2 linked regions of the Tamandua tetradactyla genome follow. Each later gene encodes a partner of the first gene's protein in a complex. Links are inferred from orthologs where the notes say so. Each region holds a gene or a part of one and is shown on either strand. Other genes may lie near its edges.

Region 1 (12,319 bases):
TTTCCTTGTACGTAGAGGTTTTAGAGAAAGAAAACAATTTGACTAAGAATGGGCTTAGAATCATCCTACATGTGACCTTAGAGCTCTTATTTAATGGAAGAATCAAAACATAATTTAACTGTTTATAACATAAACAGCTTTTGGAAAAGTGGCATCATCTATATCAATGCTTATAGATTAAGGTCAAATGAAAAAAGTACAGAACCATTGGCTCACTTTTCACCATCCTACGATGGAAGTAGCACTAAGCTTCTTTGGCTATAGCATTGCTATGCAAAATCTTAGAAAGTTTTCAGTGATTATGTGATTATATTTGAGCTGTTTTCAACAAAGTTATCCTTATAATTATTAAACACTTGTTAAATAATCTGGTTCAAAATGAGGAAGTTATTCTTTGGAATAGACTATAGAGATACTCTCTGTTTTATATTTAGCTTAAACATATGTCTCAGAAACTACAATTATATGAGACTGAACTTTAAGATTCACTTAAGATAATAGGTTTGTAGTAAGTGCTTCTGGACTAATTGATATTGTATTTAAATCTTATAGTTTTAAGATAATTTAGATATAAGTATATGTAAACTTCAGATTACTATTATCAGGCATGATTGGACTATGAATATCTTATTTTTTCTGCTAGATGAAAGTACCATTACTTATACCGTACCCTGCGTTTTTCCATAATGAAGAGATATGCATGTGACTTTGCACAATGATTGTGTTCTCTGATTCTTAGTTGCCAGTGACTGACAGGTAGTCAATCAAGAAGAATGGTATATGGTGGAATTGTTGTAATAATAAAGACACATAATTGAGTACGTTAGTGCCTACACAGTGCTGGATCAATAGAATTATGCATTCTCAGGAAACTCATATCCTAATGACAGAATCCCATCAGCATTATTTATGCCTAAGAATAAAAATGATGGAAGCAGAATAAACTCTGAGTCGAGTTAGAAGGAGAATAAAAAGATAAAAAGGGGCAATGTGAGAAAAATCCCCATGCGGTAATTCCTGGTAGGTGTCATCAATTGATACAGAGGATCCAGCCAATCTGGCCAGAATAGTGATGACTATTGATATTAGCACTTATAAGAATCATAAGATCTTGAAGTCTTATATTTCAGTTTAATCCAGCAATTATTTGTTGAGTGTCTACCACATGCTCATTGCTTTGCTGGGTATATTAACAAAAGCTCTACCTTCCAGGAGCTTATAATCCAGTGGAGAAAACAGTTGTGTCTTTAATAGAAAGGTGTACCAAAACTTTGGGAGCAAAGGAAAAGTTGGGACTATTTATCCCTAGGAGAGTGAGAAAGACTCAATCTTCAAGGATGAGCTGTATATGATTCAGGGGAAAACATTTTGGGGAATCCCTGTGTTTTAGTTTGTCAAGCTGTTGAAAACAGAACCATAAACCACGTTGGCTTTTAACAATTACATTTATTAGCTTACAAGCTTACAGTTTTGAGGTCGTGAAACTGTCCACATCAGGGCATCATCATGGTGATACTTTGTTCCTGCAAACAGGCTACTGGCGATCCTGGACTCCTCTGTCAGATGGCAAGGTGGCTGTCTGCTGTCTCTTCCTTCTCTTCTGGGTTTCATTGCTTTTAGCTTCTTGCTTCTTAACTTTCTCTCTCTTTGTCTGAATGTCATTCTCTTATAAAGGACACTTTTAAGATCTTACTTACCAAAAGATCCTACTTACAATGGGTCCATATCCGCAAGAATGCATTAACTTTAAGAACATACTTTTCTAGGGTATTTACAGCTTCAAAACACCACACCCTTTTTGATATTTGTGGGCTAAGAGAAGTTGAAATTAATCAGCAAAATTATGGATAAAATTAAAGTATAAATTTAAATGGTCAATAAGGCAGAATAAGTTGTTCCTATTTATATTTATTACTGATTATGCCTTTTTTCTATTTCCTAACTTTTTAAAATATGTTTACTTATTCTGTTAGAGCTCTTGGATTAAAGGAATTTCCCCCTGAAATGAATAAATTTAGGAAATTAGTATATAGTAAAGAAGATTCCATCTGACCTTTCATGAACCTGGGGATAGTCGTAGACCACAAGATATTTCTATTTGGGCAGGATAACTACTTTTTTTTTAAGACTAAGAAGGTTCACTGACAACATGCATTTATTATAAATGAAAATTTTTTAAAAGACAAGTCCATGTTTTACTTTGAAGATAATAAGCTGTCATTTGTAGTAGGCACTATTTTAATATAATGCTTTACTGGGCAGGTTGTTTTTTTTTAAGGCATTGGCTTTCTAAAGTCAATTTAACACAAAAAGTTAATTTATTTAGAAATCAAAGGGTTATTTTACTTCACAGTATCTGTTTAGGTTTTCTACTGTTTCCCCCAGTTATCATGAGCATGAGTTGTCCATAAAACAAACTGCTTCTCCTCTACTGTGATCCTTCCGATATTTCAAGGTCACAGGATCACTGATTTGTGAGGTGCTGTAAAACTATGTCATATGAAAAGAACCAGACCCAGGGGGCAAAGATAACAGTGCTATGTAGACTCTCCGTGGCCTGTGAAGATTTGGTTTACAAGGTTGTTGTCCGTGTTTGGTCAGTAAAACTAAGGCAGAAAGTGGTTGAAAGAACATTACTTTAAAGGCATTAAAGAAGATGCCAAAGGAAATAATTTTTAGTGCAAAGTGTTCCAAATGGGGTAGAAGTACAGAATCAGCAGAGGCAGCCAAACATAGCCTTTTGTCTCCCATCTGTGGATGCTAGTACATAAGCAGCATAATTATGCTCTAGCACTTACTGCCAATACCAGAAATTCCCAATCCCTTTATTTCCTTCCTCCCTCTTTTTTTTTCCTCACCCTTCCTTGCTTTCTCCCTCCCTCCCTTTCATCCTTCCTTTTCACCTTTTGAGATCCACATGAACCTTGATTTTAAAAAGACTAGCTCCCAAACCCTTATAACCAAGCCTAGCAAATTTAAGAAAAATTATTTTGAATACTCTATTTCATTTGTAAACCTAGGAGAGGGGCATATTTTAGACAGAACAGATTGATCAAAGAAAAATGACTTTGGTTACATCATTAGCCTTGTTAGACCACAGATTCCTCATTAGTGAAATTAGGTTATTCAGCTGTGCAATTCTTAGCTAGCTTCCAGCTCTAAAATTTCATGGTTCTTCCTTTCTACGTTTCTGAGTGCTTTGTGATCTCTTAGGGTGGTGGTAGTGTATCAATGTCAATAGCTGTTTGTGCATGCTGACTACCAAATGCTAGTAATAAGTCATCATCAACGTGGTCAAATTTATAATGACTCACACTAGATAGATGGTACAATAAATCAAGTAATATTGTATTTGAATGCAGTCCCCCAAGCAAGGGTTTACACCAAGTACATGATTAGATATTCTTGGTCCTCCCATTGAGTTTATTATTCCAGTCATTTCTGAGAGCCATCATAAAAAGAATGGGATTTGATGTTCCTTTTTAAAAAAAATTTTGGTTTATCCTTAAATGCCTGGAGAGATTTGAGTAAATTACACTGCCATCTTTCTATGGCTTTCCCAGCAAAAAAGAGAATTTGAGCACGTTCCTTGCTCCATACTGACTAAGAAAAACAAAGTTTCCTCTCCTTTTGAGAGGAATTATTGTTCTTTAAAAAAAGGAAAGCAAGAAGGAGAGCATTGCCAAATTAGATATCCTACCTATTTAAGCTTTACATACATAATTATTTATTATCCACTTACTAACCATGTAGAAGTATGCTTTATTCTTTAAAGTTGCACAAATATTAGCGTGAATCCTTGCTAAATTATTTCAAGCTTCAGAGATTTGGAATTGAAAGATATTTTGCGTAAATGATAAAGCAAATGGTAACTGTCTTAAAAGAAGAGACTGAATGGAAATATTTATCAGAAACATAAACTAGACACAGTAAATCTCCCAAAGAACCTCCAAAATAAACTAATGCACCATGCTAATAAGAATCAAAGTGTTTCAAATGAAAATGTACATGTAAGTGATGATGGATATTGCCTCTAATAACCCCTTAACAGGCCTATTAATGTTAAATCAGCTTTAGCTTTTTCAACTGAAAGATATTGCAAAAGAAATTATTGTTATTGGATACAGTCATCTTGCTCTCTGTTGTGTGTCCCTATAAAATTCAGGCATGAAATCTAAAACTGAAAATTTGATCTCCTTCATCTTTCTCTCAGAATTAAAAGGAAGGTAGATCAGTGTTTTCATAGACATGTAAAAGCAATATTGCAATATCTGTTACCTCAAACACAGCTTTTTTTTACTATCAAAAATTTCCAAATCCTGCCATAAACCAGAACAGTGCAGAGTATAAGGTAAATGTCACAGCTATGCTGTGGGAAGTCCTGAATTCTGTACAAAGAGAAATGCAAGAGAGTCTTTACTAAGTGGTGGAGCCACACATTCTAGGTATCATTAGAATCCTTTCTATCAATTTCAACATGTTTTTCCTATTCTTTATTCCCCACTTTCGGGTTTCTTACCTCCAGGAGAGATGTAGAAATAGTTGAGTTGAGCTTCGTGCACCAAGGTGCCCTTAAACTTCACCTCTGTTTCAGCAGACAGGTGGCTGGAAAGCGGCTGGTATGGCGGCGTAGAGGGCTGAACAAAGGCTCGAAGCATCATAAATCTCCAGATATGTACTAATAATTAGGTGGATTTTGAACTCGTAGTAAATATCCTTACCCGTGAGGGTTCTCCTCGTAATTTTTTAAAACCTGGAAACCATTCCATAGGAACACAGTGCTGCAAAAGCTATACAGCCGTATCACGTTGTTGCAACTTTAGGTTGCAGTAATTACTTTAAGTTTTAGAGTTCTGAAAACTATACCTTCTTTCTTGCTTCTTTTGCAACCTTGTCTTTTTCTTCTCTGCTATGCTGTCTATGGAGAGGCGGGCCTCTCACCCAGTGACTTTACAGGAAAACTTGGATTGAAATGTGACGTTAATGGTTTCTGTCAGTCTGTCAGCTCATCGCCTCTGTTAGGCATGATGGTCTGGTTTTTATATATCACCACGAGCTGCTTTGATAGACCCTCTTGTGTGGAAGAGTGAGAGTTTTGTCCAGGAGTTGGTAGACCTTGAGCCTAAGAAGCAGAAAATTTCTGCTGGAATGTGTACTTTAATGTAATTTTACTGCCTCTTCTCCTGGAGTGCAGCTCATGTTGCAAAACTATTTTAGGGAGAAAAAAATGAGGCCCAGTCTACATTTTATCTGCATGGTCCTTTCAATAGCCAAGTCTGTTGGTAAATCTACCTGGTTTTTTTTTTTTTTCCTTTTCTTTTCCTGGCTATTTAAATTTTCTGTTCAAACTCAACATTAACTGGGATTTTAAAATGATCTTATTTTAATCTTAAATTCATGTTCTTTAGCGATAAATGGACCTGTCCTAATCTGTCCTACACTGTCTTATAATTACCACTAACCAGTCTTTCCTTCATTTTGCTTTGACATGTGAAAGATGTTTTCATAGCATTTCCCCTTCCTTAATCTGCATTTCAGTTATGTCATGATAATGACAATGTCAGACTGTTTTTCTATTTCTATCAACAGTTTCCTTGGCATCCTCTGCTTATGACAACCTAGTTCCTTATGTCAAATGCCACAAATGTGTAATACAAAAAATTGCACCCAAAATATTTCTGTTAATACATTCTGCTGGTGAGACTCGAATGGCTGGCGAGTTTCCTCTGCTACTACATTCTTGAACCTGTTAGGCTGCCACCCCCTTTTTCCTTTGGCAGTTTGGGAAGACTCCCAGGAAAGAAAATTTTCACTCTTACCAAAAAAGTAAACCAGGCTCCTAGTTTTATACCTAAGATTAAAGCCACCAAAACATACAGATTTACAACACACAGCTAGTGGGTTAGAATACAGGAAGCTGTGTTGGAATTGGCATAAGAGATTAGTGTTGATGGACAAGAGATAGCCTTGAATATAGATCTTCAAGATACACATTTAATGATCTTGAGATGAAAGAATTTCTTTTTTGATAGAAAGGCTCTCATAGCAAGTATACTTCAGAACTCAGATGTTCTTTTTTTTTTTCCTTCTCCAAAGATTACCAGTGTACTGAGGAGAAGTATGTGTATGTATTTCTTTCTAGGAGGATAAAATAATCCTGTTAAAGAAGAATCTGGAGGTGGTGTTTTGTTTTGTTTTTTTCCATCTTCACCCTCCCCACTTTACGTAGTAGTTAGGTAAGATATAAATCCTGGTGTACTGATAGTACAAAAAAGTTAAAAACGTCATTGCCACCTTTTGGCAAGTAATTCAGATAGGTAGGCTTTTAAAGATGCCTGCTTAAAATAGCAGTAAAAACGTCTGTACCTTTGTTATCTGAGTCATTATTGATAAGAAACAGAAATTCCATACCTTGCCATTGATCAGTTAAGTGGAGGAGAAAGCTACACTTAAAATCTTAAAATATCACAGCTGTTTTAATGACTGTCTAGTAGCCATATAATTAAATGTTTCACAAGTTTACATTTTAAAACATTGTTTCCTTAAAAAATTTTTTTTCTGTTTTTCATTGGCCTATCATAATATTGCCACTCTTTTCAATGAAGGTTTTAAAAATGTATATGTAGTTAATGCATTATTTGCATGATTAATGCCACCAGATCCTCAACTAGATATTTATAAATGTATTTTGGTACTGTTTCAGCCATTGCTATGAAATTGATGTAGTAGGCACATAATAAAGTATATAATTTATTTGAAAATTATTAAATGAATCAATAGCAGCTGTATTATAACCACATTTTTCTTTTATTACTAAATGATTAAATCTCAACCATATCAAATCTTTCAACATTTGTAAATTTTCTTTATAGATGTTTTGAAGTTGAGGATTTATTATTAAATTTTATTTTTTCTAGCACTGTATCCTTACTTGCAGTTTACAAAGCTGATTTTCAGTGAACATATTCCTGGGGCGGGGGAGGTTTTCTAGGTATAATTTGTGCATTAATTTTCTGAATATTTAAAGATGAAATATGTTTATGAAATAAGAAAATGGAGGATAGAAAAGCCAGGAAGTTTAGAAATTCTAATTTCCTTTTCAATCTGTATTCATTCATTTATGAAGTATTTGCCAAATGCCTCCTGCATCCACGTGGTATATTTTCAAGGAAAGTGTACTTTATTGGATATGTCTGTATCTGGGTATATGTATAAGACCACTACTGATTTCTCTGTGGGTTTAAAAAATTCCAGTGCTCAGTTTTGAAGACTTTGCTCCAATAATCCATCTCATTTATTTTTAAAAAAATGTGTTTTCATTTAGAATGAAAAAGGGAATTTCTTTCCATTTTTTGGTTTTGAAGATGTTCATAATTTGTTTGATATGTTTTTTGCAGTATCCATTTATGGAATTTGGTTTTATGATAAGGAAGAATGCCAAAGAATTGCAGAGCTTATGAAAAAGTAAGTACTGAAGGTTAAATATTTTTCAGGGCTCAGTTCTTTTGTTTGAGTTTCTAAGTGAATGTAATTACACTATAATATATTATATCTCTTATAGCAGATACGATATGTACAATATATCTCATAGCAATCCTTTTCATAGAAGTAAGGTAAAAAATAATATTATTTAATAAATGAAAAATAGACATATAACTTACTTTATTTTCAGTAGGTAAGACTCATCATCTAGAATGACTCAACTCATATTTTCTGTCAGTATGAAATATATGTAACATGAGTTCTTCTACATGGCAGTTTTTCTTAATGTTTTCCTCATTTGTCAATTAGCAAGTTTTTGCTTTGAAAAATAAGGTATCAATATGTATATGAGTAAAAAGAACATCCAGAGAGCCATTCTAAAAGGCTGCTTTGCAGTCTAAAATTGTTCCTTTCCTTCCTGCCCTAAATGCTTTCCTTTAACGGTTTATCTATATTTATAGAAGTTCAGAATTTCCCCACCTCTCAAACACTGTGACTTCTTAGGATAGCCATTATTTTCAATCTCTTTGGAAATTTCAGAGTCAGTATAAGTTTAGTGATCAGTAGATGGTCTTTCTCTGTTGTTATTAGTCTGTTTTTCTTTTACTATCCATGTTTTGTCCCATTCTGCACTTTGGGAATTCCTGTTTTGACTTTCCCACTCTTGATTTCCCTGATTGCATTGAGAGGAGGGCCCAGGAAAGCACAGATAGACCCACAGGGTTGCTCACGGTGAGGCAGTTATTTCTCTGCTGTTTATGGGAATATGCATGAGGCTCAGAATAAAATTCCTTTCCTACGCGTGCTGCCTGTCAGCCTGCTACGGTACTAGCCACAGTCAGAGTATGGCTGCTGCCCACACCAGTGTGACACTGTCACAGGGCAGCTCCTTCCGCAGTTGAAATCCTGAGGTGATGAAATGCCGAACAAATGACCCCAAGAAAATAAAAAATGGGGCGAGCACATTTTTAATAAATAAGCATCAATTCCTGAAAATCCGGCTTATGGTAGCTAATTTTAGCTAACTAGTTCAAGTTGCAGATAGTGATTAAGTGCGTTCAAACCAGTATTTACCACCATAACAACTAGTTTCTAGAGCATCCATGTTATTGTAAACTGTGCATCGGATTATACTAGCAGATTTTGTATAGATTAAAAAATACTATGTAGCTCAGCCAAGAGGCCATATTAAAATTGTCAGCATTCTGCAGTAATTACTTAACAGCTGGGACAGGAAATTGATTGTTCACTAGCAATGAGCAGCTTATTTGTGTGAATTCAGTCCTCTTCCCCAGATAGAATTGAATCTCTCAGTAAATCCTCAGGTCTATTTTCACCATAAACTTTATGGCAATAATAAAAGAATTGAGTTGAAAGTCAAAGCACACAAAAGGAAAAAGTATTTTTCTCAACATCACTCAAGCAGCATATAGGAGCAATCTTCAGTTTTGTTTTCAGAGCAACAAAAGACACTTCTCATTGCTCTGTTTTGTATTTTTTTGTATTTAATGCTCCGTCTTCTCAGAATTAGAATAGAATCTTCACTGCATTTCTAAACTACCAGAGTACTACAGAATTTGAGTTGCCGTACTCAACCTTGTGCTCTGAAATGAGGGAAAAAGAAAAATCTCAATTTGCAATGTTGTTTCCTCAAGGTTTGTGAACTCCAAATTGGGTTTCCTCAGTAATGAATGAGTCCTTTCAAATGTTACAGAGTCAACAAACTTTTTCTGTAAAGAGCCAGATAGTAAATATTTTAGGCTTTGTGGGCCATACATTCTCAGTCACAACTATCCAACTCTGCCATGGTAGTGCGGAACTCGCCATAGGCAATAACAGATGAGCATGGCGATGCTCCTGCAGAATTTCCATAGGTGGATGAGCAGTAGATTGGACTCGGCCAGTTTGCCAACCCCTCTTCTAGACTCATATTTGTAATCAGTGTACTCAGGACCTCAAGTTTTGTTTCTCTTCTTTCATTTCCTAAGCAGTCTTATTTCTAATATGACTGTAACAGTATGAAAACAACTGGGTGAGAATTGGGATGGTTTTAAAAAGCATTTATGTTGAGTTGTTTTTGTTATATGGATTGTCCCTCTCTACTTTTTCTAGCCTAACTCAATATGAGCAATTGAAAGCCCACCAGGGAGCTGGAGCACGAGTCTCCCCAGTGATCCTCAATTCAGGAGAGGGGAAGGAAGTAGATATCTTACGGATGCTCACCAAGGCCAAAGATGAATACACAAAGGTAAGTTGTTACCCCCTCCTTGTGTTACAGTGGAGAAAGACTGAGTACTGTTTCCTCCACCAAACAAAATCATACGAAAAATAAAATCTTTACTTGCTTTTAGGAAGTCAAAGGAGGCTACTGTTTTGCTTTTGATTGGATTAAAAAGTAGCCTGAGAAATCAGTAGCCTTCATAAATGCAAATGATATCCAGTAGATTTCCTAGATGATCTCATTTACAGTAGCAACAAATTAATAGAAAATTCCTTTGATAAGATGAACAAGAAATGGGCAAACCCTGTGTGAGGTAAACTTTTAAACACTCCTGGAAGGCATAAACATAGACCTTGAACAAATGGGAATATATACCTGGTCCTTAGATAAGAATGCATAAAGCTGTCAGTTCTCTTTAAATTAATCTGTGAATTTAAGATGATCCCTAAACAAATACTAACGGTTTTCCTTTCATTTTTTTTTCTTTTGTCCCGGAGCCAGGTAAGTTGATTATAACGGTCAGATGGAGAAATTTAAAATAAGTTAGACTAGGCAGGAAAACCCTGCCAAAAAAAAAGAGCAATATCGGGATAAGCTCCACCTGATATTAAAACACTGAATTCTAGATATTCAAAACAGTGTGGTACTGACACATGAACAGCCAGGATGACAAATTGGGCAGACGAAAAAGTCCTAGAATTAGACTCAAGTGTATATGAACTTTAGGACCATGATAAAGATGACAATCTCAAATCAGCGACTGAATGGATTTTTAAAGAAATGGTGTTGGGACAACTGTAGCCATTTGGAGAAATACAAAATTGGATTCTTTCCTCATACCGTATACCAGGATGGATTCCAAATGTGTTAAAAATTTGAATTGTAAAAATAGAACCATTCAAGTACCAGAAGAAAACTTGTATGGATCGCTTTATAATTGGGGAAGTGGAAATGTTCCTAACTATGCTTCAGAATCCAAGAGCAATAAATTCACCTACATAAAAATAAAAAAATAAACATTTTGCATGTTTTTTTAAAAACCTCAAGTAAGAAATTATAAAAAACTGAGGAAAAAATTTTCACCCTAAATAACAGGAAGAGGTTTGAGTTCTCTATTTTATAAAGAGCTCTAAAAATTGAAAAGTAAAAGACTAATACCCTCTAGAAAAATGGCCAAAAGTAAATTAAGAAAAAAGAAAATAAAGTCCTAACACTTGGAAACTTAGCTGAAGCAAATGTACTTAACCAAAGTTCATATTATGACATAGTCACTTAGAAAAAAAATTAGTGTGAGTGACTTCAGAAACCCAGTATTTGAAACCTAGTATTAGTAGATATACTTTAAAGACAAAAAGAACTGCGAAGAAATTATAAACTTCATTCAGTGTTTTTTTTTGTTGGTAGTAATATTGGCACAGTGATTTTGTAACTGTTGTATAATATTACAATTGAGTAATTACGTTATTGTTGTCTGAACCAAAACCTTCAGCATAAGAGAAGAAATAAAAAATTCAAGAAATTAAGTTAAAACTGTGTAATGTTAAATTTTAAGTGGAAAAATACAGAATTATTATTATTCATGTTTTGTTTCTTAAATATGTAGTTTCCAGCTCTTTCTCCTAAAAGATCAAAAAAAAAATGACAACCCAGGAACAATAAGCACCCTGGTCACCTAGACTGTTGTTTCTAAATACTATTTCCTAAAAAAAAGGTATCAGGGCTCCATAAAGAAATTACTGATTCAAGGTCTGGTACAGGAAAGTTAAGCTAATAGGATCATGTGAAAAGGGCACAGTAGTCAGCTTAAAGGGACCGCTAGCTGAAGCATCAAAAAGAATAACTGTTGAATGTATGAAAATATATGAATTCATAGTAATGAGAGAGAGAGCAAGCAAACCTAAAATATGCATAAACAATACTATTGGCTATCATTAGAAGTGGTAGTATACCAACTCCTTACTCTGAAAATCGGTAATTAATGGGAAAGAATTAAGCATTTATCCTGCCTTCCCTCTATGGACCATATTTCAGAGTAACCAAATAGCCCTGGCTGATGAAGGAAATTTCTTCTCTCCCAAAGAATACCAGCTAATAAACATAGACAGAATAATAGGACTTAAAACACCCTAGTAAAATTATTGACTCCGGCAACGATTATTGGTAATGTTGTAATTTTGAGAAAAGTTGATGGGAACTTGACCATGGAAAGACCAGGTTGCTACCCATTGGGCAGCATCATTAAAATCTGCACAAACAGACATTATGTGCTTCCAAGTGTGATATAATGTGAAATACACACCACTACTTTGAAATATTCTTGCCAAAAGAATTGACCCTGAATGTAATTAAGTCTTGAGATCTAACTTCTTAGATTACAGAAAATGAGGGGAGGGCAAGTTGAAGAACAAATTAAATGACACCACAAGGAAGCAATCAGAAAAATCCTGAATGAAGTGGACTATACTAGAGGACGATTGATCAAGTTTCTTCAACGTGCCTTTGACTTGATTGTTGACTTGATTGTTAGACTGTGAGCACCTTGAATACAAAGAGCATCCCTTATTCCCATGTGTACCCCTAATCTTCTGCCAAGTACTTGACACATGATAAGTGCTA
Region 2 (12,081 bases), on another chromosome or scaffold:
CCTGGCGATGGGGAGGGGGGGACACATCTGACCCAAGCCTCAGGCTGGGCATGCCCAGCACCAGCAGGATACTCATTCAGGACAAAAAGCAAAGCATCTGCCAGGGTCACCCAAGAAGAAGGTAGGGTCCTGTCCAGGTGGGCAGACCCTGCAGTGAGCCCTTTCCAGATGGTATCTGGAGCAAACAGGAAGACTTGAAAAGAAAGGACATCCCAGATGGGTCCTGTGTGGGCCACTGAATCACGGGTGGGCGCTTGGAGGAGGGGCAGCCAGAGTCCTGTGCAGGCCGAGTGCATAGGAGCCTCCTTGCTCTGCCTCCATGTGCCCCCAGGCCCTGACTGCCCCGGCCTCTGTCACACTCACACACAGTTCAGGGTCTGCAGCTTTGCCTCGCTGGGCTCAGGCTCCTGCACCTGGCAGAAGCAGGTGAGCTGGTCCAGGGCTGCAGAGATACTAATGCTACGGTGACGATCTCAAGGGATAGGAGCATTGAGGTTCCTCCAGTCTCAGGCCTCATTTATCTCTGCAAATGGCTCATGGTGTTTTAATGTTCTTTTTCCTATTTTCCTGTATTATAGAAATGTCTACATGAACACTCGTAAGATTCAAGAGTCTGAAGTTTTTAAGTGAGTTATTCCCTAAAAATATGATGAACTCAGCTGTTGGGCTTGACTAGAGGGTGGAGAGTATTCTGGCTAATATTCCAGTTAATAGAGCTTCTGTCTCCATGGAACCAGACCCACTGTGCCAATTTCAAAGAACTAAAGAACATGTTTAACTCCAAGCTGGAGGTGAGTTAATATGGATCAGGCTTCAGTGGTTGGAATGGCCCATGGTATTAGGGAATACCTCTGGGTTATCACTCAGAATGCGTCAGTGTACCAAGTGCCAGTCCATGGAGATTTTAATGTATTGAAAAAGAATTTGTTAATTTGCACGAAACCAAGAGTTCCGGTGCCTTAGGTGGGAGGAAACGTTGTGCCCACTTCTTACTTGCATTGATTCAATATTCTCGGCATCCCTTTTATACAAGAAGCTTATGATGCTCCCGAGGCTGGTTTCTATTGTGTCTCCCCCACTCCTCTGACTGAAGACTATAAATCGGAACGGAGACATCACCGAGCCTCCCCCGAGCTTCAGAACACTGTTATCGTAGGTGGGGAAGTCTAGTTATGGCCTGGGGCTCCAACCCGGGTTCACGTGGGTGCAAGGGAGCAGGGCACACTCTCACACAGCTCCGTGCACAGAGAGAAGGGGGACCAGCAGGGAAATGGGGCGCTGCCAAGCTGCTTCTCTCCCGCCCTAAGGAGGCAGAGCCAGGAAGGAGCAGCACTTCGTGCAGCCCAAGGGCAGAAGACGACCCTTCTGGGATTCACTTGGGCTTTCAGACAGACAGGTACTCCTGACAACTGGGAAAGCCCCTACTCTCATTCCGCCGGCATTGGAAGTGACCTCAGATGCTGATCTACATGATGATGCTTCTAAGACTCTTTGGAGCAGTGAAAAAACTGGATTAGGCAACTTTTGGGCTCAAGCTCTCCAGCAGGCTATGCCTGAAAGGGACCTTAGATGTCTCCTCCATTACACCAGCTCTTGGCCCAGCTTCCCCCAAACTTTGCCATGTCCAAAGCCGGACTCTATGTGCTCACTCGAGTTAGCAGCTTTTAGGAGCTTGATGGGTAAGGTAGAGGGTGAGGGGGCGGAATTGGAGAGCAAATAGACTCTGGATTGTAAATTTGGGTGTTGAAACTTTACCTGTTTCACCTTGGGAAGACCACTCTGAGCCTCAGTTTCCCCCTCTGTAGAATGAGAACACAAGCTACTGACTGGGTTCTTGTAAAGTAGTATAATACAGCAACTGAGAAAGTAGATTTTAGGGGCACATGGCTGGGTACACATCCCAGCAGCTCTACTCATTTACTGTGTGACCCCGGTCAAGTTGCTCAACAGCTCTGTCCCTCCATTTCTATATCTGTAAAATGGGATGATGAGAATAGCATGGACATCACGGAGGGTTTTGTGAGGATTAAATGAGTTAATGTACATAAATTAGTGCATTGCCTTCTAGTTTCTGATTTGAAATCAGCGTTAATGTTATTGAGAACCTCGTCTATGCTTCTCTCTTGCTCTTTTTCTTTCAGCAGTTTGATTGTGATGTGTCTAGATGTGGCCATTTTTTAGTTCATCTTACTTGGAGTTCATTGAGCTGCTTGGAATGTGCGATTAATGTTTTTCACAAGTGTGAGAGTTTTCAGTCATTATTTATTCAAATATCCTCTCTGTCCCCCTTCTCTCTCTCTCCTCTCCTCCTGGGACTCCCACTATCTGTATGTTGACGTACGTGATGACGTCCCACAGGTCTTTGAAGCTCTGCTCATTTTTCTTCATGTTTTTTTTTCCTTTCTAGTCCTCAGACCAGATGGTCTCAGTTGACCCATCTTCAGGTTTACTGAATCTTTCTTCTGCCTGCTCAGATTTTCTGTTGAGCCCCTTCTAGTGAATGTTTCATTTCAGTTATTATACTTTTAAACTCTAGAATTTCTATTTGGCCCTTTTAAAAAATAATTTCTCTTTCTTAATATTCTTTCTTTGGTGAAGCATCATTCTCATACTTTAGTTCTTTAGACAGTTTCCTTTAATTCTATGAATATATTTAAAATAGCTTATTTAAAGTCTTTGTCTCTGATAAGGTCAATGTCTGGGCTTCTATTGTTTGCTTTTCTCCCCTGTGTATGGGTTGTACTTTCTTGTGTGCTTGCCTGCCTCATCATCTTTTGTTGCTAACTAGACATTTTGGATATTATAATGTGACAATTCTGGAAATAAGAATCTCCCCCTTTGTCAGGATTTGTTATCGTTGCTATTTGTTGTTGCTGTTTGTTTAATAACTTTTCAGAATTAATGATGTAAAGCCTGTATTATTTATTGTGTGTGACCATTGAGGTCTTCTCTTGGTTAACTTAGTGGTCAGGTAACCGAAATTAAGGTAAGAGATTTCCCTAAATGTGTGTAACCTATATATCTCCTGGTCTTCATTGAGGTGCTCTGTCTGCATGCTGAGGGCACACCTTCAACATTCAGCCAGGCCATTTACAACTGTCTTAGACTTTACTTCCTGCTTGTGCCAAGCCTCAGCATCAGCTAGAGGTAAGAGCATGGGGCCTTCTCAGGTCTTCCTGAGCGCACACTGGCCTACAAAGGTGCGTGGCTTTCTAGATTCCCAGAAATATGTTGGAGCTTTTCAAATCTCCCTATGGACATCCCATTCTCCAACTTCTCCTTTTAGACTTTTTGGTTAGTCTATTATTTTCTCCAACTACTATCTACTGCCTCAGGCAGCTGGGATGTTAAACAATCGCCTCTGGTTGTTTTTAACAAATGTTCTTTAGAAAAAGACTGTTGACACTGGGTGAACACAGAACCAGGTCAAGTAAAGATAGCTTGCAAGTGGGGTCTCCCAGGGAACCACCTGACAGGTCAAAGAGTGACAGTTCACTGGGTTTGGGTTTGGCAGGCATTCCAACCACCTCTGCTCCCTGCAGTGGCTGCCGGGCTGCTGGTTTTCACCGAGATTGCAGAATATTCATTTTCAAGGCTACTGTGGAGCTGGGTTGGGGTGTATGGGATTAGGGCAAGTTAAAACGCCACAAAGCTTCCTGTTTTTATCGATTCAGCCGATTTTCTTGAATGAATGTTCCCCAGATCATTGCAAGACTGGGGTTAATTTCCAGAAATCTGAAAAAGTAGATTCTGACCATTTTTGCCTGTGCTCTCATTGCTATTCTGGAAGAAGGGATTTTTGGAGGCCCTTACTCCGCCATTTTTGTCTGAAGTCACCCAAAGTTAATATATCTTAAACACTTAGAACAATGCTCTACATGCAGCGCTACCTTGGTGTCTGTTGTTAATATAATAGTTGTGCTATTAATGACGAATGAGAGACCACGGGTGAAGCCTTTTCCTTTCCCTGGAAAAGAATGTCCCAGGGAGCATGGGAAGGGTGGATCGGAGAGGAAAAAGATGTCTCCTTGCAGCGTGGCAGAAACATACTTTAGAAGTTTCTTGGGCAGAAGGTGGCACTTGGTGTCACTAGCATGGGAGGCTGGATTCACAGCTGGACTAGGGCAAGAAGGCGTCAGGGTGGGCCCTGCTCGGGCACCAGGCTGCGCCACGCCCACTGCTCCCCCATGGAAAGACTGGTCCCCAACCGCTAAGCCATCCCTTCCTGAGTGGACTGTGCTCACACTCCCTCACTCATCTGCCCCACGAACTCGTCAGCCTCTAAAAGGCATGTCTCCAAGGTTGGTGGGCAGAACCATGACAAAGTGTCTCCATGCATGATTCCTGAAGAAGCTGCCCTGTCCTGCCCTGCCCTGCCCTGCCCAGCCGTGCCCGGGTGAGTTGTCTGGATGACATCTGTTTACAGGGTGTGCTCAGCAGTGGCGAGGGGCACAGGCTTCAGTGTTATATGATACCCTTCAAACACATGCCCTTGCCTGTTAAGGCCTTCAGCCCCAAGTCTCTGTTTTTCCAAGACAGCTGAGTATTTATGAATCTTCCAGGCATCTAGTGGGGGTGAGCAAGGCAGGGGTTTCTTGGAGCAAGCAGGAGGGAAAGGGAGAGAAAGGAGAGCAGCTAGAAGGGATTTGGGCTTCTGTGCCCATGCCTTGCATAGACTGCAAAATATTTGGAGACTCAGCACTGACTTCCTTAAAAGGCAAGTTTCAAGGAACATCCAGTCTGATAAGACAGGAAGTAATTCTGAAAATCAGGCGGGATGCCCCACACCCTTGTCCACTGTCACACTGGCAGGATGTTTGTGGGGATGGGAAGGGACTTGGGTTGCTGACCCATATTTTACAGAGAAGGAGGAGGCCAAGAGAGGCCTTTGCCTCACCCCAGCCTGTATTCATTCAGGGGTCTATGAACACTGTGTGGCCAGACAGGTCTCTGGTTCTCTTCTAACATATGGCGCATTTCCTGTGAATACAGAGGGTTCCCCATTTGCAGAATCAAGACCAGTCACTCTAATACCTTACATTCTTGCCTGAACGTGTGGTTCAGTCACTCGTTGGGAACTGAAATTACGGCCCAGAGCTAAGGGAGGCTGTAGGGAAGGACTGAAGTTCTGAGAAAAGGGCAGGTGGCTCATCTATATATCCAGGGACGGCTTCAGGGGCACGTGACACAGGTGGTTCCTGCAGGCCACGCTCAGAAGGGTCTCACGCTTCATTTAATGCTCTCCTGGCGCCATCTTGAAATTTTTAATCACTTTGGGACCAGGAACCCTGCATTTTCATTTTGCATGGGGCCCAGACATCCCACAGCCATTCCTGTGTCCAGCCCTGCCTGGAGGCCGGGAGGGAACCTGCCAGCCCCATAGGCCCCTTCAAGCCTGAGGACACAGAGCCACCCAGCCTGTCTCTGTAGGGAGAGAGGGGGGCCCAGCAGGGTGACCGCTGCTGGGACCAGAAGTCCCCCACCTGTAAGACCCACAGTTTCCTTGTTGAGCCATCTGCCCTGTCTGTCCAGCCCTATTTTCTGGGTGAAAAGCCCCACACCTCAGCAAGACAGAAATAGCTGGAGACAAATGCCCTTATTTCCCAACCCAGTTCTGGCTGTCAGCACGGACAGACATAACTCAGATCCTCTTTCCTGGGCTAGAAGGGTTGGATGTCTGCTCTGTCCCGAGGCTGAGAGACCTGGCTCTTTTTGATTTTTCCAGGGGGACAAGGGGAGGGCAGGAGGGGACAGCGCAGACAGGGCGGGTACGTTACCCCCGGGCAGGCTGATGGGGCCGCAGCTCTCGTCCTCGCTGCTGCGCGCGGCGATCCGCTTGGTGCAGATTCTCCAGAGGCCGAAGTGGGCGGCCTCGCAGGCGGCGTCGTGCTGCTCCACCCGGGGACTCAGCACGGCCCAGTGGTCCGTCACCACAGCCACCAGGGCCAGCACGACGCCCACCAGGATGAGGGAGAGGGTCACGCGGACCTTGAGCGCTTTGGTCTGGGACATGGTGGCCGTGGAGGGATGGGGTGCTCCGGGCACGACTGGGGCGGCCGCGGCTGCCCGGCCCGAGCTAAGTTTAGTGTCCCCGCTGAGCCAGAGGGGGCCGGCCTTGGGGCTGCGGGGGCTGGGGCACGGCCGGGCAGCTGCTCTGCCCCGTCAGGGGCCTGAGGGACGGGTCTGGTAATGCCCAGCTCCAGGCGCGCGCAGGGCGCTGTCGGCTCAGGTTGCAGGGCGAGGACCTGATTTGGGGAGGGGGCTGGTGAGCGGGGCTCTGCCTGCTCGGGGCTGGGGGAGAAAGGGACCTGGCTGGGCCGGGGCTGCCTAGCCCCCCCCCTCAGCCCAGGTCCTCGCCCTGCGGGCCTAGGGGACATCCTGGGTACCCCCCGCCCAGGGCCCCCTCTCCCAGGCCAGGCCGTTAGCCCCAAGCCCACTGTGGCTCCCGGGTCAAGGGACGGTTCCAGGCGCCCCCAGGGCAGGGCATCACCCAGCACAGACCCCAGGCTGAGGATGGTATTTCCTCTCCATTTCCCTTCCCATTCCTTCTGGGGCCCCAGAATAACAATTCAGTTTGGGGGCTGTAGGTCTTGAACAACCTTTTGACATTGGCAAAGCGTCCTTTGAAACAGAGAGTGGCCCCCCCAAAAACTAAGAATTCAGATGAACTTGTCTGTCCATCTGCTTTCGTTGTACTTTTTCAGTTGTACTTGCCATTAATGGCAGGTAATGACTTTACAAAATAAATGTGTTTAAATAAACTAAAACACAGAAGTTGGTCCATTTACCAAGACTTCCAGGAGGCTAATGGGGGTGCAGTTACACCAGAGACCACGTCAAAGCTTGGGAGCACCGCAGTGGCGGGGAGGGCAGCTGTCCACAGCCCCCCACCCCACCCTGGCTGGGGCTTGAGGCTCTGGTTTCTCAGCTCAGCAGGTGGCTCTTCTAGGGTGTGTCCAAGGGGCGGAGGTGTGGCCAGAAATAGAGCCCTGAGCTGAGTGGGATCCTGAGCTTCCAAGTCTTGGAGGGGTCTGGTTGTGAGAACACAGAGTGCTGAGAACGGAAATGACACTAACCCTAGCTCCTCTTTGGTGAGTGCTTACTATAAACCTGGCACTCCACCAAACCCTGCACACGTCATCACAGCCGACTGTCACACTTATCCATGAGGTGGGGACAGCTGTAGCTCCCATTTTATAGATGACAATACCGGGCTCAGAGACACAAAGTAACTTATGCAAGGTTGCACAGCTAGTAAGTGGTGAACCCGGAGTCCACGCCCTTAAGCAATGATTGGAGCTGGGAGGAAACTTCAAGCTCTATGAATCTTGAATCTATGAAGTGACTGAAAAGGAAATCTGCAGCCCAGAGAGAGGCTGTGACGAGCCCAGACTATCCGTCAACAAGCTCCAGAGCTGAGCTGAGATCCTGGGCTCTGGCTGCAAGCCTGTGCTCTTTCACCTGCATCTGAATCCCTGTGCTAAAACCAGCCCCGTGGGCACCGCTCTCTCTCCCCATCTGGATTATTTATCGCCCAAGAGCTTCTCTCACAACCTTTCTCAGCTCTGCTTCCCTTCTCTTCCCACCCTCCCCGCCTCTGTGTTTCCAGGGGGAGCTAATCCATCACAGTGAACTCACTCACTTCTTGAAGCCTGTCACCGCCCCTGCTTCAGCGTGGGGAGTGGCTGCCTCCAAGAGAATTCCGAGATCCTGGGGACACAGCCCCGCAGCCCCGGAGCTCGGAGCTTGTTCACGCCGCCCACGTGGGCTGGGCCTCAGAAGAAGCCCAGGCAAAGTCCCGCCGGGAAACAGGGTCCTCGGGGGGTGCTGGAGAGCCTGAGGCAGACGCACCATGTGCCTGCCACTTGCATCAGCAAAGCAGGGCAGGGAAGCAAAAGGATGAGGTTCTGGGGTTTGATGACAGAATATCTAGAAAGAAGCTATTTTAATTTCCACATGCAAGTAACTGACGTGTCATCTGAAAAAATAAAAATGTATTTTAAATTTCTTAGTGAGGTGGATGTGAGCCCCTTAAGCTCCCCAAGGCTGGGAGCCTCTGACGTCTTAGAGGTGTCTTAGGTGGGGCCTGGCGTGGGGGACACTCAGGGTTAGCCACGCGAGACCATCTCGTGAGAGCAGCAAGAGAGCAAATTTCCTCACCTAGGGGCAAGTCTGCGCTGCATGTGAACTTTTTTGTCCTCCAACCGAGTGAGCAAAAGCGTTAAAGATGGGGGGCCTCTTCCTTTGGAATTCATCTTTGCAAATCTCACCAGACAGCTGGCAGCTTCAGAGAGTGTAGGCAGGTCAACTTTCAGCCTCAGTTTCCTAAAAACTCCTGTCTGCTCATAGAACCACAGCCAGGCTGCCTGCTCCCCCAGGGCGTTGCCCGCCAGGAAGGGGCTCATTGGCCACTGCCACTGGCTGGGAGCCGGGGCTGGGGGATGACCCGCCCCTCACCCCTCCCACCCAGGGATCATTCTCTTCCAGCACCTCAGGGTGGAGGGCGTGGGGGGCGGTGAGCAAATGGAAACCCACCCGCCCATCAGTGCCTGCGCCAGCCAGTCCCGGGATGAAGTCCCTGCTCTGCCGTGTTCCAGCCGTGGAGCTTCGAGCGAGTCCTAACCTCTCCAGACGGCCTTATCCTCATCTGTGAAACAAGGGCGCTGGCGCTTGGCGTGGGGGCTGGTGGGTGCATTAGAAATAATGCACTTAGTCCCCGGGAGGCAATCATTCCAGGAAGGCTGGGATGATGGTGTTAGTTATGGCCCACAGAAGGATCACTTTCCCCTAATGGGCTGTGAGCTTCTGGGGGGTATGGAGGATGAGAGGCACAGCACCCGGCTCAGGATGGGCTCTGCATCAGCGTTTGTTGAATGATGGATGGATGGATGGACTGATCAGAAGGACTGATACAGTAAGAAAAAGAAGGAAACAGAGGCACAAATAATTTACTGCCCTATGTTATTGAAAAGACATTTCCACCTGGCTTTAAGATCAGAGGGACAGAAGAGATGGCAGCTGGGGCAGACCTGGGGCCACCTGGGACAAGGGACTAACTTGCTTCGAGATGCTGAGGGCTGTCAGGAGGCCCAGGCGACCTCTGGAATGTCAAGGTCAAAGGGAGCATCATCCGGAGGGCTGACATTGTCTACAGATCGTTTCAAAGTGGACATCTGGGAGTTGTCTGTGTTGTGCGCATCCGAAATGAACCCCTTTCGTTTGCCCTGGGAAGCTTCATCTGGAGGCTTCGGTGGGAGCCGGGGCCAGGCCACGTCAGGCCGACAGCCAAGTAACTGCCCTTCGGTAATGCGCTGATTCGATTTTGAGCTCAGGCTTAAATAGGCTCAAGCATGGCTTTGGGTGTTTGATTTAAAATACCATTTCGAAAAAAGCGAGGGGCCATCCTAATGTGCCTCCACCTTCTGACCTCCGCATTCCACCTCAGATCCCCCGTTGCCCTCTGGCTCTCTGCCCCCACTTCCATCCCCTGGGGGCCCCTGCACAGCGTGTCACCTGTCCCCTCCCCCCGCCCTGCAAGGCTTTCCCAGAGCTGCCCTGGGAGGCCTGCAGGTGTCTGCGGAGCAGCTGGAGAGTAAAAGCATATTTACTAAAGTTCAGCAGTGCAAAGAACGCTACGAGATCAAACACCCACAACGCCTTCGCTGTGGGACATGGGGGTTGCCCAGGCACGTGCATTTTTTAAATTTTAAGACATTTACATTTTATTGAATGGGGATTGGAAGTATCCAAACCGTGCTTTCGTTAATACTATTTCTTCAGGGCAGGGCCAAAATAAGAATAGTCCATTTCAGATGAGTAAAAAAATATGGATTAATAAATAAATAAATAATGAGGGGACAAAGAGTAAAAGAAATAGAGTGGATGGAAACACTAGAGGTCAACGAGAGGGAGGGGTAAGGTGTATGGTATGAGTTTTTTCTTGTTTCTTTTCATTCCTTTTTCTGGGGTGATGCAAATGTTCTAGAAAATGATGGTGATGAATACATGTGATGATATTGTGAGTCATTGATCGTACACCATCTATAGAATGTATATATGTTGAAGATTTCTCAATAATAATATTTTAAAAAGAAAAATAGAATAGTCAATTTAAAGAAAAAAGAAGAAGTAGTAACCATTCAGGCGGTGCCTGGGATGTGTGAGGGCGCCAGGCCAGTGTACGTCAGTGACAGGGGCTTGGGGCATAGGCACAGACGCAGCCCTGAGCCCCAGCTCTGCCGCTGCTGAGCCCTGTGGGAGATGTTTAACCCTGCTGAGCCTCTCTGCCTGCAAAGCAGAGAAGACATAGTGTCTGCTCCGTGGGACGAGAGTGACAATGAAGCACAGTGACGTGAGTGTCCCCGGAAGCATTCGGGGGCTGAGGTGAGTGAGTAGGGCGTCCGCTGCGGTGGGGCCCATGGCCTGGGCAGCCACAGGGACGTCTCGCCAGTGAGTTCACCAGCATGTAAGGGAAAGAGTGGCCCTCCCTGAGCCGGGACAGGGCGAGTTTGACGAGCCCCTGGAAACCCCGTCGCCATCCAGAGTGTGAGTCTCACCCTGAGAATGATTTAAGAGGACTCCGAGTGTTGATGCCTTTCCTGCAGAATGGGTAGCAGTGGAGCCAGAGAAATATTATTTGGTGATTGTGACATGCATTCACACATTCATTCATTCGTCAGCTGCTTGCTGATCATTGAGGGCTATCGACATGGAAGGGACACAGGTCTGCCCCTGAGCAGCCCACGGACTGGCAGAGAGATGGACCTGGACTGTCCGAGAGGGTCCTCTGCGGTGGCAGGGCTGAGAGGGGAAGCGGAGGGCCTGCTGGATGAATTTTAAGAAGGGATCAGGTTCAGACACTGCATTAGATATAGGCTATGTAAGGGGTAACTCAGCAGACCTTCGCTGTCCAAACCCTGTGCCTTCCAAGGAAAGGACTGCACCCTGACCAGCTCCAGGGAGTAACATCTGAGCCCTTGGAATGTCCTGCCTGAGAGTGTCTTCGTACACCTGGGGCCTGCAGCCAAGCCAGATGGTTTGGCATCTTGGGGGAAAGAAACAGGATGGATACTGCGTAGCTAAGGCCGTTCGTGTGCATTCCATAAAAAACACGTTCACCAAGGCTCAGATTGGCAGAAGTCTGCGTGCGTGGTCACCCATCATTGCCGGGAGAATTAAGCACTGTGAGGAGGACTCCACCAGGAGAGGACAATGGGCAGTTCATGCCTGGTCTCTCCAGGCATGAGAAAGTGTTTAAATTAGAATTAAAAGTATAGATTTTACTCTGTTAAGCTCTACGGTAATAAGCCATAACCAGGAGCATGGTAGCTTTTAGGAATCCTATGAGTCCTTCGAGAAAATCATTGAACTTGAGGGTGGTTTTGGGGATCTGTGCCACACCAGGAAAGAGGCAACTGTCCTCGGAGTGGGTGGGTCAGAAGAGCCCTCGCAGGTGAAATGGAGGATGAGTAGGGGTTAGGACAGTGGAAGGAGGACTTAACTGGCAGGGGAAGATGCGGGTGCAAAGACCCAGGGCAGGAAAAGTCCAGACTGTAAATTGCAGATGTGATCAGGTCTGGGTAGAGTGCTAAGGCACATGGAAGGAGTGGATGGGGAGGAGATGAGAGATAAGGTTGGGCAGGGGCCAGACCTGCAGGGCCCAATAAAGCACGTTAAAAAAGAAAATGCCAAAAACTGGGGGTGCCTTTATCCTAGGAACAGTGGGAGCCATTGGAGTTTAAAACTGGACAGTGGTGTGGCCATCTGCTTGGGACAGGAGTAAAGAGGGTGATGGAAGGGGGGGACCTGGAATAAAATGAGGCGAAGAGACAGCTCAAGGCAGGAAAGCATATATTTGAGGAACACATGGGTGGTAGACCCAATGGACTGCGTGAGATGAAATGTGATGGATGAGGGGAGGAAGGAGCCAGGATTTTGGACTTGGCGGCCTGGGTGACCGATGGTGCTGTTGACAGAAGGGAAGTATGCTGGAGGAGAATGGGTGAATTTTAAGAAGGGTTCAGGTTCAAACACCGCATTAGATATAGACTATGTTTTTACAACAAAGAGGCCCCTGAATGC

The links.
Region 2: CACNA1C (region 1) and CACNG1 share a complex: the UniProt entries of both Homo sapiens proteins name them as parts of the calcium channel complex. The link is inferred for Tamandua tetradactyla from reciprocal best matches to the Homo sapiens genes CACNA1C and CACNG1.

What each region holds. Positions count from the first base shown.
Region 1 is NC_135333.1:62,236,279-62,248,597, forward strand, and holds the start of CACNA1C (voltage-dependent L-type calcium channel subunit alpha-1C), read right to left. Parts: upstream 4,960-12,319; 5' UTR 4,662-4,959; coding exon 4,520-4,661; intron 1-4,519. Other genes in the region: DCP1B (mRNA-decapping enzyme 1B), read left to right, coding at 7,398-7,464, 9,595-9,730. UniProt on the Homo sapiens protein: Pore-forming, alpha-1C subunit of the voltage-gated calcium channel that gives rise to L-type calcium currents. Mediates influx of calcium ions into the cytoplasm, and thereby triggers calcium release from the sarcoplasm.
Region 2 is NC_135332.1:7,075,441-7,087,521, forward strand, and holds the start of CACNG1 (voltage-dependent calcium channel gamma-1 subunit), read right to left. Parts: upstream 6,067-12,081; 5' UTR 6,013-6,066; coding exon 5,778-6,012; intron 1-5,777. UniProt on the Homo sapiens protein: Regulatory subunit of the voltage-gated calcium channel that gives rise to L-type calcium currents in skeletal muscle. Regulates channel inactivation kinetics.